2 linked regions of the Stegostoma tigrinum genome follow. The protein of the gene in region 1 purifies or fractionates together with the protein of each later gene. This does not show direct contact. Links are inferred from orthologs where the notes say so. Each region holds a gene or a part of one and is shown in the gene's direction. Other genes may lie near its edges.

Evidence for each region.
Region 2: the proteins of ubxn6 (region 1) and nploc4 purify together in Homo sapiens (affinity purification with western blotting; 3 studies listed by BioGRID and IntAct, with this or other methods). This does not show direct contact. The link is inferred for Stegostoma tigrinum from reciprocal best matches to the Homo sapiens genes UBXN6 and NPLOC4.

Annotation. Positions count from the first base shown.
Region 1 is NC_081383.1:32,184,253-32,191,813, forward strand, and holds the start of ubxn6 (UBX domain-containing protein 6), read left to right. Parts: upstream 1-4,387; 5' UTR 4,388-4,449; coding exon 4,450-4,532; intron 4,533-4,560; exon of another isoform or gene 4,561-4,695; intron 4,696-6,340; exon of another isoform or gene 6,341-6,463; intron 6,464-7,561. UniProt on the Homo sapiens protein: May negatively regulate the ATPase activity of VCP, an ATP-driven segregase that associates with different cofactors to control a wide variety of cellular processes.
Region 2 is NC_081375.1:23,071,996-23,079,744, forward strand, and holds the start of nploc4 (nuclear protein localization protein 4 homolog), read left to right. Parts: upstream 1-4,621; 5' UTR 4,622-4,742; coding exon 4,743-4,757; exon of another isoform or gene 4,758-5,338; intron 5,339-7,749. UniProt on the Homo sapiens protein: The ternary complex containing UFD1, VCP and NPLOC4 binds ubiquitinated proteins and is necessary for the export of misfolded proteins from the ER to the cytoplasm, where they are degraded by the proteasome.

The DNA of each region.
Region 1 (7,561 bases):
AATTAAACATTCGTATCAATGTCCAAACATGCACATAACAACACATATTATGGACAGTAAAGGATAACGCTTTGAACATTGGGACCTGACTGATTTCTATTTGAGGTACTTTTTGTGGCAATCCAGCCTTTTGGAGTTCCAAAACACTGTGCTACCAACTGGGTCAAGTTGACACTGATTATTTAAGACATGGGGTGGCAGGAGTGCACAGGCTTTGATTTATTACAGCCTGTGACATTTTATTATTGAAATGAAATCAGAAATGCTGGTAACAGAATGGCTTGTAATTTTTGTTTTGGGTGATCTGGGTGCTTTTTCTCATTTCATTTTTGAGACTGAAAAGAGTGGTAACTTGAAGAAGTTTAATTGATACAGCTGAAAATAGCTTTATCCACACAAGGAAGTATTTTAGTCAGATCTGCCAGTAACCAGACTTTAAATAAGTGAAAATTACCATTAAAAACTATACAGAACAGTTGCTAGTTTGTTTCTGAGCAAATTACAAGAAGTCATATTCAAAAGCTTTTAAAACATTCTTATTAGTGCCCTTATGTTCGATATAACCAGCTTAATTTTAAAAGACTCCTTGAAACCTGCAAACAAGCATAATTAGCAGAAATTTCTTATGATAACCTGTGTAATGGCTAGTTTTGTGGGTAGGAAAGACTCTTCCAAATCCAGAGGGTTGCCATGGACACTTACATGGGCCCCAGCTACGCCTGCCTGTTTGTCAGTTATATTGAACAGTCCCTCTTCAGGTTCTGCCCCAACTATTCCACTGTTACATCAATGATTACATCAGTGCTGCATCCTGCACCCAGGCTGAACTGGAGCAGTCCATTGACTTTGCTAACAATTTCCATCCCGCCCTCAAATTCACTTGGTCTATCTCAGATACCTCCCTCCCTTTCTTGACCTCTCCATTTCCATTACAGACTGACATTTACTATAAACCCACAGACTCCTGTAGCTGAGATAATGGGAACTGCAGATGCTGGAGAATCCAAGATAACAAAGTGTGGAGCTGTATGAACACAGCAGGCCAACCAGCATCTCAGGAGCACAAAAGCTGACGTTTCAGGCCTAAACCCTTCATCAGATGATGAAGGGTCTAGGCCCGAAACATCAGCTTTTGTGCTCCTGAGATGCTGCTTGGCCTGCTGTGTTCATCCAGCTCCACACTTTGTTATCTTGGAGACTCCTGTAGCTACCTAGATTACACCACTTCCCATCTTGTAACCCGCAAAAACTCCATCCTATTTTCCCAATTCCTCTGTCTCTGTCGCATCTGCTCTGATGAGAAGATGTTCCATTTGAAGCATCCTGGATGTCCGCCTTTTTCAAACAACAGTTTTACTCCTGCCCCTGTCATCCAGACAGTCCTTTACCACACCTCCCCCATTCCCTGCTCCACAGCTCTTAACCACCCTCCTTCCAAACATAATAAAAGAACCGAGCAAAAACAAAGTTGCTGGAAAAGCCCAGCAGGTCTGGCAGTATTTGTGAAGGAGAAAACAGAGGTAATGTTTCATATCCGGTGACCATTCCTCATTGTTTTTTTGGTTTATATAATAAAGAAAGGGTCTCTCTTGTCCTCACTTTCTACCCCACCAACCTCTGCATCCAACATATTATCTCAAACTTCCGCCAACTCCAATCAAACCCCACTACCTGGATCATCTCTCCCCACCCCTCTCTGTCTTCCATAAGACCCATTCCCTTCACCACTCCTTTGTTCGCATCACACTCCCCAACAAACACTTTAACCTGCCCGGTACCTTCCCCTGTAACCATAAAAGATGCAACACCTGCCCACACACACCTCCCTCACCTCCATTCAGGGCTCTACATAGCCTTTCCAAGTGAGACTGAGCTTCACCTGCATCTCTTCCAACATAGTCAATTGCATCCAGTGCTTCTGATGTGGTCTTCTTTACGTTAGTGAGACCAAACGTAGACTAGGTGACTGTTTCACCGAGCATTTTTGCCGGCACGTAACAGCCAACCTAACCTCCTGGTCACCACCCATTTCAACTTCCTGCCCCAATTCTCCAACATGTCCATCCTCGGCCTCCTCTAGTGTCGCAGTGACTCGGAACACAAATTTGAAGAACAAGATCTTATTTTCTGCCTGCATGCCCTACAGGCTGGAGGTCTCAAAGCTAAGTTATACAATTTCAAATAAGTTTCTGACCCATCCTCCGGGTCCCTTTCCAGCCCCACCTCCTTCCTTCAATTCCACCTTCTGTTCCTCCTTTCCAGCTACCAGCCAGATCCATTCCTCCCATCAACTGACCAGGTTGTACTGACTATCAGTGTCCACCCATCACCACCGTTCTGCTTCCACTCGTCCGCCTCTCTTGATCTGCAGCTTCCCCTATCCCGAAGAAGGGTAATACCCAAAATGGTGACTGCTCCTTTCCTCCAGATGCTGCCTGGCTTGCTGTGATCTTCCAGCCTCTTGTTTGTCTGCCTTGGATTCCAGCAACTGCAGTTTTTTTTGTCTCTTCCCAATGTCTTGCTTTTTAAACAATTACAAGCACAGGCTTCACCAACTTCCAGCAAATTTCACTGAGAAAACCAGTATGACCGAGCAGAAAATCTGGCCAAGGTATTGGAAATGGTTAATATATGTTGATGTGTATATGGATCTTCCAAAAGAATTTGCCTAAGTATTACACAGCAGATGTGTCATCAGCATTACAGCCAATTAGATTCAAGGATCAAAGACAGTGCATACAAGTAATTTGCCAAAGGTTAAGTGTCCCATAGGGGTAGGTACTGGAACCACTGCTTTTTTTGACTTCTATGAAAGACCTAGACATGGGCATAGTGGTCATAATTTTACATTTTAAATGTAATACTCAGAAATGCAGTGAATAATAAGCTAGATAGTAACAGACTTCAGGAGGACACATACTGGTGAAATGCGCTGATACGTAGTTCATGCAGTTTAACACAGATAATTGTAAGGTGGTTTATTGTATATATAAAGAATAAAGGGAGTCAATATTAAATAAATGGTGAAATTTTAAAAGGGTTTCAGGAACACAGAGATCTAGCGGTGTACATATAGAAATCTTTGAAGGTGGCAGAATAAGTTGAGGAGGTGAGTTAAAAATCATATGGAATCCTTGGCTTTATTATTAGATGGATAGAACCAAAAGCAAGAAGGTTAGATTATACCACAGCTGCAGTATGAGTTCACCTCTGGACACATTTTAAGGATGATGTAAAGATGTTAGAGATGGTGCATTGCAATTCACTCAAGAGTCCAAGTTGTAGTCTGCAGTGGTGGTAGACTTCCTAAAGTTCTGAATTTGCAGATTAAGACTCAACATACCTTCCATGGCCATCCAGTCATGTGCTAAGAGGTGAAGCTGGATCTTCCAGGTCAGCAGCTGGGACACATTTACCCGTTGCACCACAAGACCTGAGGGCCTGACAGACAGTACAGGAAAAAAAGAAAATTTCAAGAATGGTGCCAGGCTGACATAAAGGACCTTGAAGTTTTAATAGATAATGGGATATAGAGAATGGAACTAACTAACTATCTTGTTCAAAGAGCAGGAACAGGAGCAACGTGCAAAAAGGTCTCCATTTGTGCAATATCATTCTGGGTTAGAAAATTAGTCACCACCCATAATGACACCACCATTTTGCTGAAGGCCCAACACAAACAGCGGTCACCACAGCAATGAAAGACCGGATTGATCATGGATGGCAATAACAATGTACATTTTGACAATCTACTTAATTTCTTTAAAGGAATAATTTATTTTCTAAATAAATTCGTTGTGCACTCTTTAATGGAGGCATGCTTTCAGCATAATGTTTGATGACATTGGGACAACCATTTAATTGAAGAAAAAACATGCTGACAGTTTAGGTATAACCTTGCATGAGAACGGACGTCTAGTTGTCAAACCCCGTCCGAATCTACAGACCTCTGATCAGAGATAATGGGAACTGCAGATGCTGGAGAATCCAAGATAACAAAGTGTGAAGCTGGATGAAGGGTCTAGGCCCGAAACGTCAGCGTTTGTGCTCCTGAGATGCTGCTTGGCCTGCTGTGTTCATCCAGCTCCACACTTTGTTATCTACTGATCTGTCTTTTCAATTCATTGATCATTAAAGGTTCAAGTTTCCAGGATATTCGTTTCGTTTTTCTCAAGATTTGTTTCTCTAACAATTTATTTCCATTTTCATTATTTGGAGATTTTTTTTTCTATTGCTTTGAGACTCAGGAATTCCTAACAGTTTCAACAGCAGGCAAGAAAACTGACCTTGGTCTCTCCGCAAGTTGGGGCTCGCTTTGTTGCCTCGGCAACAGCGTCGGTGCATTGGTGAAATGGTTCGCTTCCGGTTGAGAACCAGCGGAGTTCCGGTAGAGGTAGGGGGGGAGTGTAGATGATGTGACACTGAGAACTCTGGTGACATAGAGGAAAGATGAAGAAATTTTTTGAGGATTTTAAGCGGGATATAAAGTTTAAAGGCGCTGGGCCGGGTCATGCTCTGACTGAGGATACCAGGTGAGAGGGATATTGAGGAGATTTATTTTTGAAGGTTCGGGAATAAGTTCGAGGGAGAAGGGGAGCAGGCCGATTTAGAGCCACAGGTAGGAAGCCTGAAGCCCCAGCCTCACCTCGTTTGAAGTTCTCATTTCAGCGTTAAACTCGCCTCCCACTTGGAAAGGTTAGTTTTCTACGTGTGGGAATTAGTCTTTAGTCTTTCTCACTTTCTTTGATCAATGTTACCTCAGTCATATGTCTGGGTTTCGTCTACATAACACACCCATCATAATGAGGACAGAATGTGACACTATGATTTCTGTCCCTTTAAGCCAATTAAAAGACATGAAACGATAGTTAAACTTTCCCCTTATCCGTCTGTTTCTCCGAGTTACTGATTTTTCGTGGGCTGTGGTTATTGTTTGCTTTCTAGTGCCGTGTTAGATTGTTGCGTTCGACTGCCGTTTCTTGGATTGGCATGGTAAAGACTGTCGCTGAAGTTTTCAGATCACTGTTTAGGGACATCTCCCCCTCTCTCTTTGCTTGGGTGAGATCCTTAATTCATGCTTGACATATGGGCCATTAATGGTCTTACCAGTCCACATCCCCGCCAAAAAACCCTTTTATCTCCTTAGAGTCATAAAGCTGTACAGCATGGAAACAGACCCTTTGGCCCAACCTTTCCGTGCTGACCAGATATCCTAAATTAATCTAGTCCCATTGTCAGTATTTGGCCCATATCCCTCTAAACTCTTCCTATTCATGTACCCATGTAGATGCCTTTTAAATGTTGTATTTCTGCCAACCTCCAACAGCTCCTCTGGTAGCTCATTCCATACGTGCACAACCCTCTACATGAAAAATGTTCTCCCTTAATTCCCTTTTAAATCTTGCCCCTCTCATCTTAAACCCATGCCCTCTAGCTTTGGAATCTGCTACTATGGGGAAAAGACTTACGGTGAATAGTCAATCTATTAACCACATGATTTTATAAACTTCTTCAATGGCACCCCTCAACCTCTGATACGCCAGGGAATATAGCCACAACCTATTCAGCCTCTCACTGTGGCTCAAACCCTCCAACCCTGGCAATATTTTAAAAAATCTTTTCTGAGCCCTTGCAAATTTCATAACATCATTCATGTAGCAGGGACACCAGAAGTGAACACAGTTTTCTAAACGTGGCCTAACCAATGACCTGTACCGCCTCGAGATGACCTCCCAACTCCTATTCTCAATGCAGTGACCAAAAAAGGCAAATGTATCAAATGCCTTCATTATCGTGTCTACCTGTGATTCTACTTGCAAGGAATTATGGACCTGCACTCCAAGGTTTCTTTGTTCAGCAACATTCCCCAGGGCTTTACTGTGACGTGTATAAGTCCTGCCCTGATTTGCCCTGATCGTCCTCAAAATATGTATATTTGATCAACTTTTTGGTCATCTATGCTAATGTTTTCAGTTTGGATATGTAAATGTTTGGCAATTGCTGTTTTTTGAAGTCCTTTGAAGACTAGTAAAAAACATTCAATTAATTCTTCTGCCAAGTCTTTAGACTCAGATTCCCTACAGTGAGAGCGCATTCCATTCGGCCCATCGAGTCTGCAATGACCCTCCGAAGAGCATCCTACCCAGACTGACACCCTACCCCATAGTCCTACATTTACTGTGGCTAACCCACCTAGCCCACTGGAGCACCTGGAGGAGATCCGTGCAGATATGGGGAGAATATACAAACTCCACACAGACAGTTGCTAGAGGGTGAAATTGAACCTGGGCCCCTGGTACTGTGAGGCAGCAGTGCTAAACACTGAGACACTATGCTGCCCCAAGCAAGGTTAGATGCCACTAAGTAGATTACAATGCCTAACCATTTGAATGTTGTAAGACCACTAGGACCCCTTCCATCTTTATCAAGAGGAGTGCGAACCCTCTGTCCTTTCATACAACATAATTTACTTCTTTCACAATTCACTGATCAGGCTCACTTTTTTCATATTAGGCCAATGATCACTTTAACGTCTTTTTAATTAAAAATGCAGAAACTTCTATGATCTGATTTTATACTTCTTGCTTTCTCAAACACTTTTTCTTCCTTGTTATTTTAACCATTCTTTGCTTTTTTTTAAAATGTTCTCTCCAATCTTCTGACCTCCCATCTACTCTTGCAAAATTATACGCTTTTTTTAAGTTTGATGCTATCTTTAACTTTTCTAACAAACCACATATGGAGGGCTCCTCCCCTTGGAATTTTTCCTTTCACATTGGAATGTATCCATTCTATGTATTCTGAGATATCCCTTGAAATGTCTGACACTACATTTCTGTTGAACTGTCCCTTTATCATATTTGTCAGCCCACATCAGCTTTGCAGGTCATCAGTTAACCTTATCTCATTACACAGTATGAAGTCTCATTTAACCTGCTGTCTGATCAGCTCCATGACAAACAAAAACCAAAAGAATTGCAGATGCCGTAAATCAGGAGCAAAAACAAAGTTGCTGGTAAAGCTCAGCAGGTCTGGCAGCACCTGCGAAGGTAAAAACAGAGTTAACGTTTTGGGTCTGGTGACCCTTCGTCAGAACTGATACTAGCTGGGAAAATGTCAGTTTATATGTAGAAAATAGGGAGGTGGGTGGGGTAGGGAGTAAATGATAGGATAGAGCCCAAAGGGAGAGAAAGATAGTTGGACCAACAAAGGAGTTGCTTATGATCAGGGTGATTAGTTATGAATGGGGTCTTGTAGTGACTAACAACAGGGGGTGTGTAATGGCAGGCTATGTGGTAACAAGGCCTGGTATATGGGAGAGTTTAGGCCCTAAAATTATTGAACTCAATATTGAGTCCGGAGGGCTGTAGCAAAACCCAAGTGGAAAATGAAGTGTTGTTCCTCCAGCTTGCCTTGGGCTTCTTTGGAACACTGCAGTAAGGCAAAGGCACAAATGTTGGCCAGGGAGCAGGGTGGTGCGTTAAAGTGGCAGGCAACAGGTGGTTCAGGGTCTTTATTGCGAGCAGAACGTAGATGATCTGTAAAGCAGTCGCCAAGTCTA
Region 2 (7,749 bases), on another chromosome or scaffold:
CCACAGCACCCGGATCCCTGATACTGTGAGGTGGCAGTGTTAACCACTGAGCAGAAAGTTCAGTCTTAGGAACAGGCACATTCCTGATAAAGATCTACTTGGCGATAAGAAAAATAGTTAATGTGGGTACTCCTTCAGACAGTTGCTCTGTTACTTGAATACTCTGTGTCACTGCTAATATCTAGGCTTTTAGTCTGGCAGTCCTTTTTAGGTGGCTTGACTTCACTAATCTCTTTTAGATTTAAATAAGAACTGAAAATGCTCAGCAGGTCTGGTAGCATCTGTGGAGGGTGAAACAGAATCTGGCATGAGTCTTCTTCAGAACTGTTTGCTTTATTTTAATACATTAATCTCAATTTGATAATCAGATTTAAGCTTTTATAAAGTATTTCTCAACTGTCCATGACTTGCTAGTGAGACTCACTTTCAGGCTTCAACTGACTTCTTTTGTCGATTAGTAATAACTGAATATTCAACAAAGGCTGAATCCAAGTTAAAGTTAAATATTTCATCCTCCTTGGATAACTTTTTTTGCTGGCTGCTGTCAGTTGTTTGTTGCATGTAATCAGCAAGGTCATTGGAAAAGCAGATAAATTCATTTCTTCCTCACCTCTTCCAACAGACATGAGGTGGCTCAAAAAAGAAAGCAGAGGCTAAATTGTCATGAATTTTATGGTCAAACAGTGTAGAAAGTTCCAGACCTTTTCATCAGTTGGATAGTCTGCTTTTATGTCAGTCTCATTCTCTGCCATTCATTCCTGTAAGAGCAAATGGAGGTAACTTTGCTGCAGGTCACTGTTACTTTTGGTGAATCCTATTCTCTGCTTCTCCTACCTTTCCTCAAAGTAAGTGAGAAATCTGCCACATCCTCCTGTGGTCCTATGGACGTTGGTTCTTCAATGAAAAATGGCTTGCAGATTAAGGAGTCAATTTCTTGTCGAGAAATGAATTTATTTAAATTCAGCTGCAGCATGGGAATAAAAAAGTTTCTATGTTACCTGCACAGCTCCGTTTTATAAAGAACAATGCTGTTTGGGAATGATGTACACAGTATCAATAATCTCCATTCCATTCTAGAAAAGGATAACCTGCATCTGCCCTCGCACTGTTATTGTAATGCCTCCTACACCTTGAGGTTTAGTTGGACACAGGTGGAGAATTTAAGCTTCGACCATAGTGGTGAATCAGAAAGAATGGCTATGCTTTCCTCTGTATCCACTTTAATACCAATTTATTTTCTACTAAACATGATATACATGCCAGTGGAACCACCAGACCACCCCACCACCCAGAAGAATATGTCTTGAGACTTGGCAGCATTTACTTCTTTGATAACTGTAGAATGGGGCAGTGTGTTTTTCAACTTCTGTCCAGCAAATAGACAATCCTCATTGTTACTTTATCGAACCAGCCTAAATTGGCAACAAAAGCAGAAATCGCTGGAAAATCTCAACAAATCTGACATTATCTGTGGAGAGAAACCAGAGTTAGCATTTCAGGTCCAGTGACCCTTTTTCACAACTCAGCCTAAAATGATACTCAGCATTGCTGGTTGGGTGGGATTGTTGACAATGTGAAGCTATCCTAATAGCACAGACAAGAAACAATGACAGAAAATGGTGCTCCTTTCTCTCAGTGTTATTTATCTTACCAGCAAATTGGTAGCTCCCTATTAATGAATTGAACTGAGTGACATTCAAGTGGTCTGGCACCAGGAAAGTTCTCTGTCTTCAAGAATAAAATCTCAGCTTTATTTGCAAAGTACAATCTGGTGAACTGCACAGCCTTTCCTCATATAAAACAGAATTTTAGAGGAGAGCACAATGGCTCAGTGATTAGCACTGCTGCCTCACAGCACCAGGGACCCAGGTTCAATTCCCCACCCTTGGGCAACTGCTTGTGTAGAGTTTGAACATTTGCCCCCATGTCTGCAGGGGTTTCCTCTAGGTGGCTCCAGTTGCATCCCACAGTCCAAACCTGTACAGTTCAAGTGGACTGGCTGTGCTAGATTGCCCCCAGTGTGCAGGCTAGGTGAATTAACCATGGGAAATGCTGTCTGGCTGGCTGGGTTGCTTTTTGGAGGGTAGACTTGATGGTCCGAATAGCCTGTTTCCACGCTGCAGGGATTCTGATTAAATTGAAATTTCTCAAAAGAGCTCCATCAAACACTTGCACACTGATAGAGTCCCTTCATGAGCTCATCTCTCAATCTTCCCTATTGGCAGTTAGCACCTGGCTGATATAAATTATTTATAGAAGAATCAATAGACTTCCCTAGCTCTTTGTTCTACCAGATAAATTTTGCCCTTTGATGGGATTGTGTCTTTAACTAGAATAAGAATCAAAGAACTAGATCACATCATCATATTTAACAGTGTGTTTTCTGTGCCTGACCTGATAAAAATAGTGTCAATACTGCTATTGATCACGTACAACAATACACTGATTTGGTCTTTATCTGATATTTTTGAGGTCAATGGCAATCTGGTATCAACTAAACCATTCGTCCTAGTTGACCTAATACAGGATCTGGTCACAGGCACTGAATGTGGTCCAGTAGCCCAAGAGAAGGCCTTTCTCTCAGTGTTATTTATCTTACCAGCAAATTGGTAGCTCCCTATTAATGAATTGAACTGAGTCACATTCAAGTGGTCTGGCACCAGGAAAGTTCTCTATCTTCAAGAAATAAAACTCAGCTTTATACTGCTGAGTATTTTTCTTCTTGAAGAGTTATGGCAACTGAAAACATTTTATTTTCTCCTCTTTGTGAAGATCTCTAATCTGCAGTAATCTCTTATATACTATGATCAGGCAGCATCTTCTTTACATATGCCATGAGTTCTGTGGATCTGGTCACCACTTGCCAACATGTTTTGAGATTAAATCTGGGTTATTGATAGAAGGTAATCTGCTTCCATGTCAGTTAACATCAACCACCTTTACATTAACGATATATAAGAAAATGGTAAAGAAGACATCCCTGGGAAACCAATGCATTTAGAGCCCAATTCCGTATCATCTGACACCATGATGGGCATTACTCCTTACAGACACACTCAGTGGAATAAAGGTATAGTTGGCCACTTACTCCACAGGAGCAGAACGGGAATAGATGATATGTTGATGCAGTGAGCTGAAGTAGGATAAGACATAGCATGTACAGGGTTAAAACATTGGAATAAATCTGAATGGCCTGTTTTGGTAAATTTACACACAATTCTAGGAATGATACATACATGATTATTTTGTAAATTCCCTATTAAAATGTTGCGATAATGTTACTTCCGCCATCTACAATTCGACCCCAAGACATTTTCCCATCCCCACCCTTGTCTGCCTTCCGGAGAGATCACTCTCTCTGTCACTCCCTTGTTCGGTCCACACTCCCCTCCAACCCCACCACACCCGGCACCTTCCCCTGCAACCGCAGGAAGTGCTACACTTGCCCCCACACCTCCTACCTCACCCGCATCCCAGGCCCCAAGATGACTTTCCATATTAAGCAGAGGTTCACCTGCACATCTGCCAATGTAGTATACTGTATCCATTGTACCCAGTGTGGCTTCCTCTACATTGGGGAAACCAAGCGGACGCTTGGGGACCGCTTTGCCGACACCTCCGCTCGGTTCGCAATAAACAACTGCACCTCCCAGTCGTGAACCATTTCAACTCCCCCTCCCATTCTTTAGACGATATGTCCATCATGGATCTCCTGCAGTGCCACAATGATGCCACCTGAAGGTTTCAGGAACAGCAACTCATATTCTGCTTGGGAACCCTGCAGCCCAATGGTATCAATGTGGACTTCACCAGCTTCAAAATCTCCCCTTCCCCCACCGCATCCCAAAACCAGCCCAGTTCGTCCCCTCCCCCCCAAGCCTGTCTCTGCCTCCCTAACCTGTTCTTCCTCTCACCCATCCCTTCCTCCCACCTCAAGCTGCACCTCCATTTCCTACCTACTAACCTCATCCCACCTCCCTGACCTGTCCGTCTTCCCTGGACTGACCTGTCACCTCCCCACCTATACTCTCCTCTCTACTTATCTTCTTTTCTCCATCTTCGGTCTGCCTCCCCCCTCTCCCTATTTATTCCAGAACCCTCCCTCCGTCCCCCTCTCTGATGAAGGGTCTAGGCCCAAAACGTCAGCTTTTGTGGTCCTGAGATGCTGCTTGGCCTGCTGTGTTCATCCAGCCTCACACTTTGTTATCTTGGGTATTTGTAACACGGTTTTAAGCTTTGGTCCCACATTGACTAATATTGGACTTACTTGATAAAAGCACATCTTGTTAACTACACTGCACTTCTACTACATCATGCACAGAAAGTTGTCCAATTGGTGAATGTTCCGACGGATCTGCTTTTTAACGGGTGTGCAAAGTTTAAGAAAATTAATGTTAACTTGTCCATCTCATTAGGATATGTGGTATCAAAGTTCAAAAAACTGTTAACTGTTCTATAATTTTATGGGGAAACGAAATGGAAGTAAACTTGCTGGAATATTTTAGGATAGGTTGCGCAAATATAACTAATTACTGTGCGTGTGGTAGTTTGTACGTAAATTGCTAAGTTTTGTTTTTGCATTGTCAACGTTGTACTGCGTTGTACAGAAGGGGGAACGTATATACCTCGGAACGGAGTGTTACCTTGCGCTGTGCAGCATCGGACGGGTTTTGTGGTGACACGCGGAGGAGTTGGAAGGCAAATTTCGGTAAAAGGCCGAGGAGCCGCTCCCGGGGGGTGTCATGGCGGAAAACATTGTGAGTAACGGCTTCATCTTCGGCGAGCTTCTTGCAGCCTGCTCGGGTTCGGGGCCTGAAGGCCTCCCGCCTAACATTGGTGGGCCGTCCTTATTACCTGACCTGGGACACGACCGACTGGAGAGGTCCCTGATTTTCCCACTTAACTGCCAGGCCCGGACTGAGGAGTGGGGGTTGACAGCTTCAGGCCAAGGCCCCGACAGCGGCCCTCCCTGTCCCTGGGGTTGGAATGGAGCATCTCCACACGTCTCCGGTGTCGGAGCAGTGAGGCAGCAGATCGGGTTTAGATCCCTCCCCTCTCCCTCCATGCCTCAGCCAGCTGGAGGCCGGGGAAAGATGTGGGGTTCTTTCGACCACTCACAAAATGACACGATGTAACCTCCAACATGACTTGCACCAACGTTTGATTATTTAGTCTGTGCGTGGACTGTAGATTTGCTTTGCTGCCCGGTTTGAAGTGATTACTCAGTTAAACTGAGTCTCTGCCTGATGCACCATATCGAGTTGTGATTGCTTCCTAGTCCATTATGTTGACTACCACAACTTTTTGGAGAATGCAGCCACCACAGTTGCCTAATCCTTCTGTGTTGCACTGTCAGTATTGTTTGTCTGTATGAGGCGCTCGTTCACAGCCAAAGCTGCGTTTTTGGCCTCTGCCGTTTGCCCAATTTTCAGCAGTTAGACACTGCTGCATAGTCAAATGTTGAGCAACAGATTTCGCGACCATTGTGGATTTTGTACTTTTAAATGTCAGTATTCAGAATTGCTCTTCTTGCTCATTCAATGACGTTCAATTTGTCTAACTGTAGGATTGAAATTATATGGTCACGTAATTGCTCAGTCACTTAGAAAAGGACACACTTTGGATTCAGTCATGTTGGCCAGGATCCCTGGTCAGTAAATTAGCTCATCCCATCCTGAATGAACACTAAGATTAGCTCGACCAAAGTGCTGCTGCCCTCTGGATTCAGACCCCTGAATGAGTTGGCAGTTTTGCATGGGGAGGGAATTTTAATATGTCTGCATAATTTGAAGAAGCTGGGGAAACACACTGAATATTTTTGAACAACCTGTTTTTGTTTTAATAAAGAAGCTTTGCTGTAACTTGTGCATTTGAAAAGAGACTACAAATTGAAGACTGTCTAAATGATATGAATTACTTGCAATCTGAAGTACTATATGCATGTAAATATTTATTTAAGGTAGTAAGAGTTCAGTAAATGCTTTATTATATCTTGTACACAACTTGTGAGTTTAAAGATATCTATCTGGATTGAAGCACACAATGATTTTGTAGTACTGTGGGCATTTTATAGGTGCTAGATTAATGAAAATTGTGACTTACTTTTTAAAACATTAATTACTACTTCATTGCAGTTTTAAGGCTGTAATGGTAGTGACAAATGAGTTAGTTGGGAGATTGGAAAATAGACACTTTAGTGATCAGCTGTTGTATGATGTAAGTGTGGGTTAGGAAGTTAGTGCCAGCTATTTACGTAAATGTTTTAAAATTAAAAATAAAGTTGGTCACTGTGCTGTAGCTTTGTGCCAGTGATGTCAAGTAGTAGTTTTCAGAGAAAGTTTGAATATAGATGCAATGATTGGAGATAGAGATGAGTGAAATCCAGTAACGAAAGGTGAACTACTGGAAACTCCAGCTGGTTAGATTGCATTTTTTTTTTGGAGAGAACAGAAAAGTTTGAAGATTCCACAACGAAATCTCTATGGAATGTAATCCAGACAGTGGGTTGGGAGCTGTTTTATGTCCATTTGTATAACACCTTGATTTTATGTTTATAGTTTTAAAAATGAAAACATTACCAATTGGAAAGTAGAAAAGGAACCCCTTTGGAACACTGTCTGCATTAAAGATTGAGAAACTAGAAGATACAGAACTGAATCACTCAAACACTACCACTGGTGTGATGGTGTGGACAGTTACAAAAGTCGGCACAAGAATTTACAATGGATTAGTAATAGAAAACATAACACAAAAAATAACAATTTGAAATAGGATTTTTGTAGCCAGAAATACATGTATGAATTAAGTTTTTGAATGCTGGCTTTGGTTCAGTTTGTAAGATCCTGCCTCTGAGTGTCAAATGTCCATGTTCAAGTCTAATCCCAAGACTTGAGTGTCAGCAGGGCTTTTCTTACACTCCAGTGCAGTCCTCTGAGCACAACATTGCTGGAGGTGCCATCTTTCAGATGAAATATCAAACTGAGGCCCCATCTACCTATTCAGATGTATGTAAAAGATTGTGCCGCACATTCAAAATGAGGAAGCGAGTTGACCTGTCACCAAAAATCACAAAAAAAACACCTGAGCATCATGACATCGCTGTTTATAGAGGCTTATGACATGCATTTGGTTGCTGCTTGCCCTCCATTACAATACCCTTTTTATTCAAAAAATACTTAAAATAACTATAGAGTGCTCTGTGTTGTCTGTCTGTTGTGAAATGTGCAACGTAAATACACATCCATTTTTAAAATGTGTGGTGATGTAGTGTGCCATGATGAAGAGATAGCAAGAACTGCAGATGCTGGAGTCAGAAACAACACTGGAGCTGGAGGAGCAAGAAAGTTATGTTTTGAGTCAGGACTCTTCTTCAGAAATGGAGAGGGATCTCAAATAAATGGAGGAGGGATGGGGCTGAAGAAGGTAGGTGGGATGGTGATAGGTGAGTGCAGATGATAGGCAGTGGTGGAGATTGGTCAGTGAGATAGGTGGGAGAAAAGATGGACAGGATATGTCAGGTCAAGGAGGTAGGGATGAGAGGGAGTGTTGGACATGGGATGAGGCTGGGGTTTGGGGAGATTGAAACTGGTGAGCTCCATGTTTAGACCATCAGGCTGTAGGCTTTTGAATCAGAATATGAGATGTTGCTCCTCCAGTTTGCAGGTAGTGTCATTGCGATACTGGAGGTTTCCCAGGATGGACATGCCACCCAGGGAATGGCAGGGGGAGTTAAAATTGTTGGCAATTGGA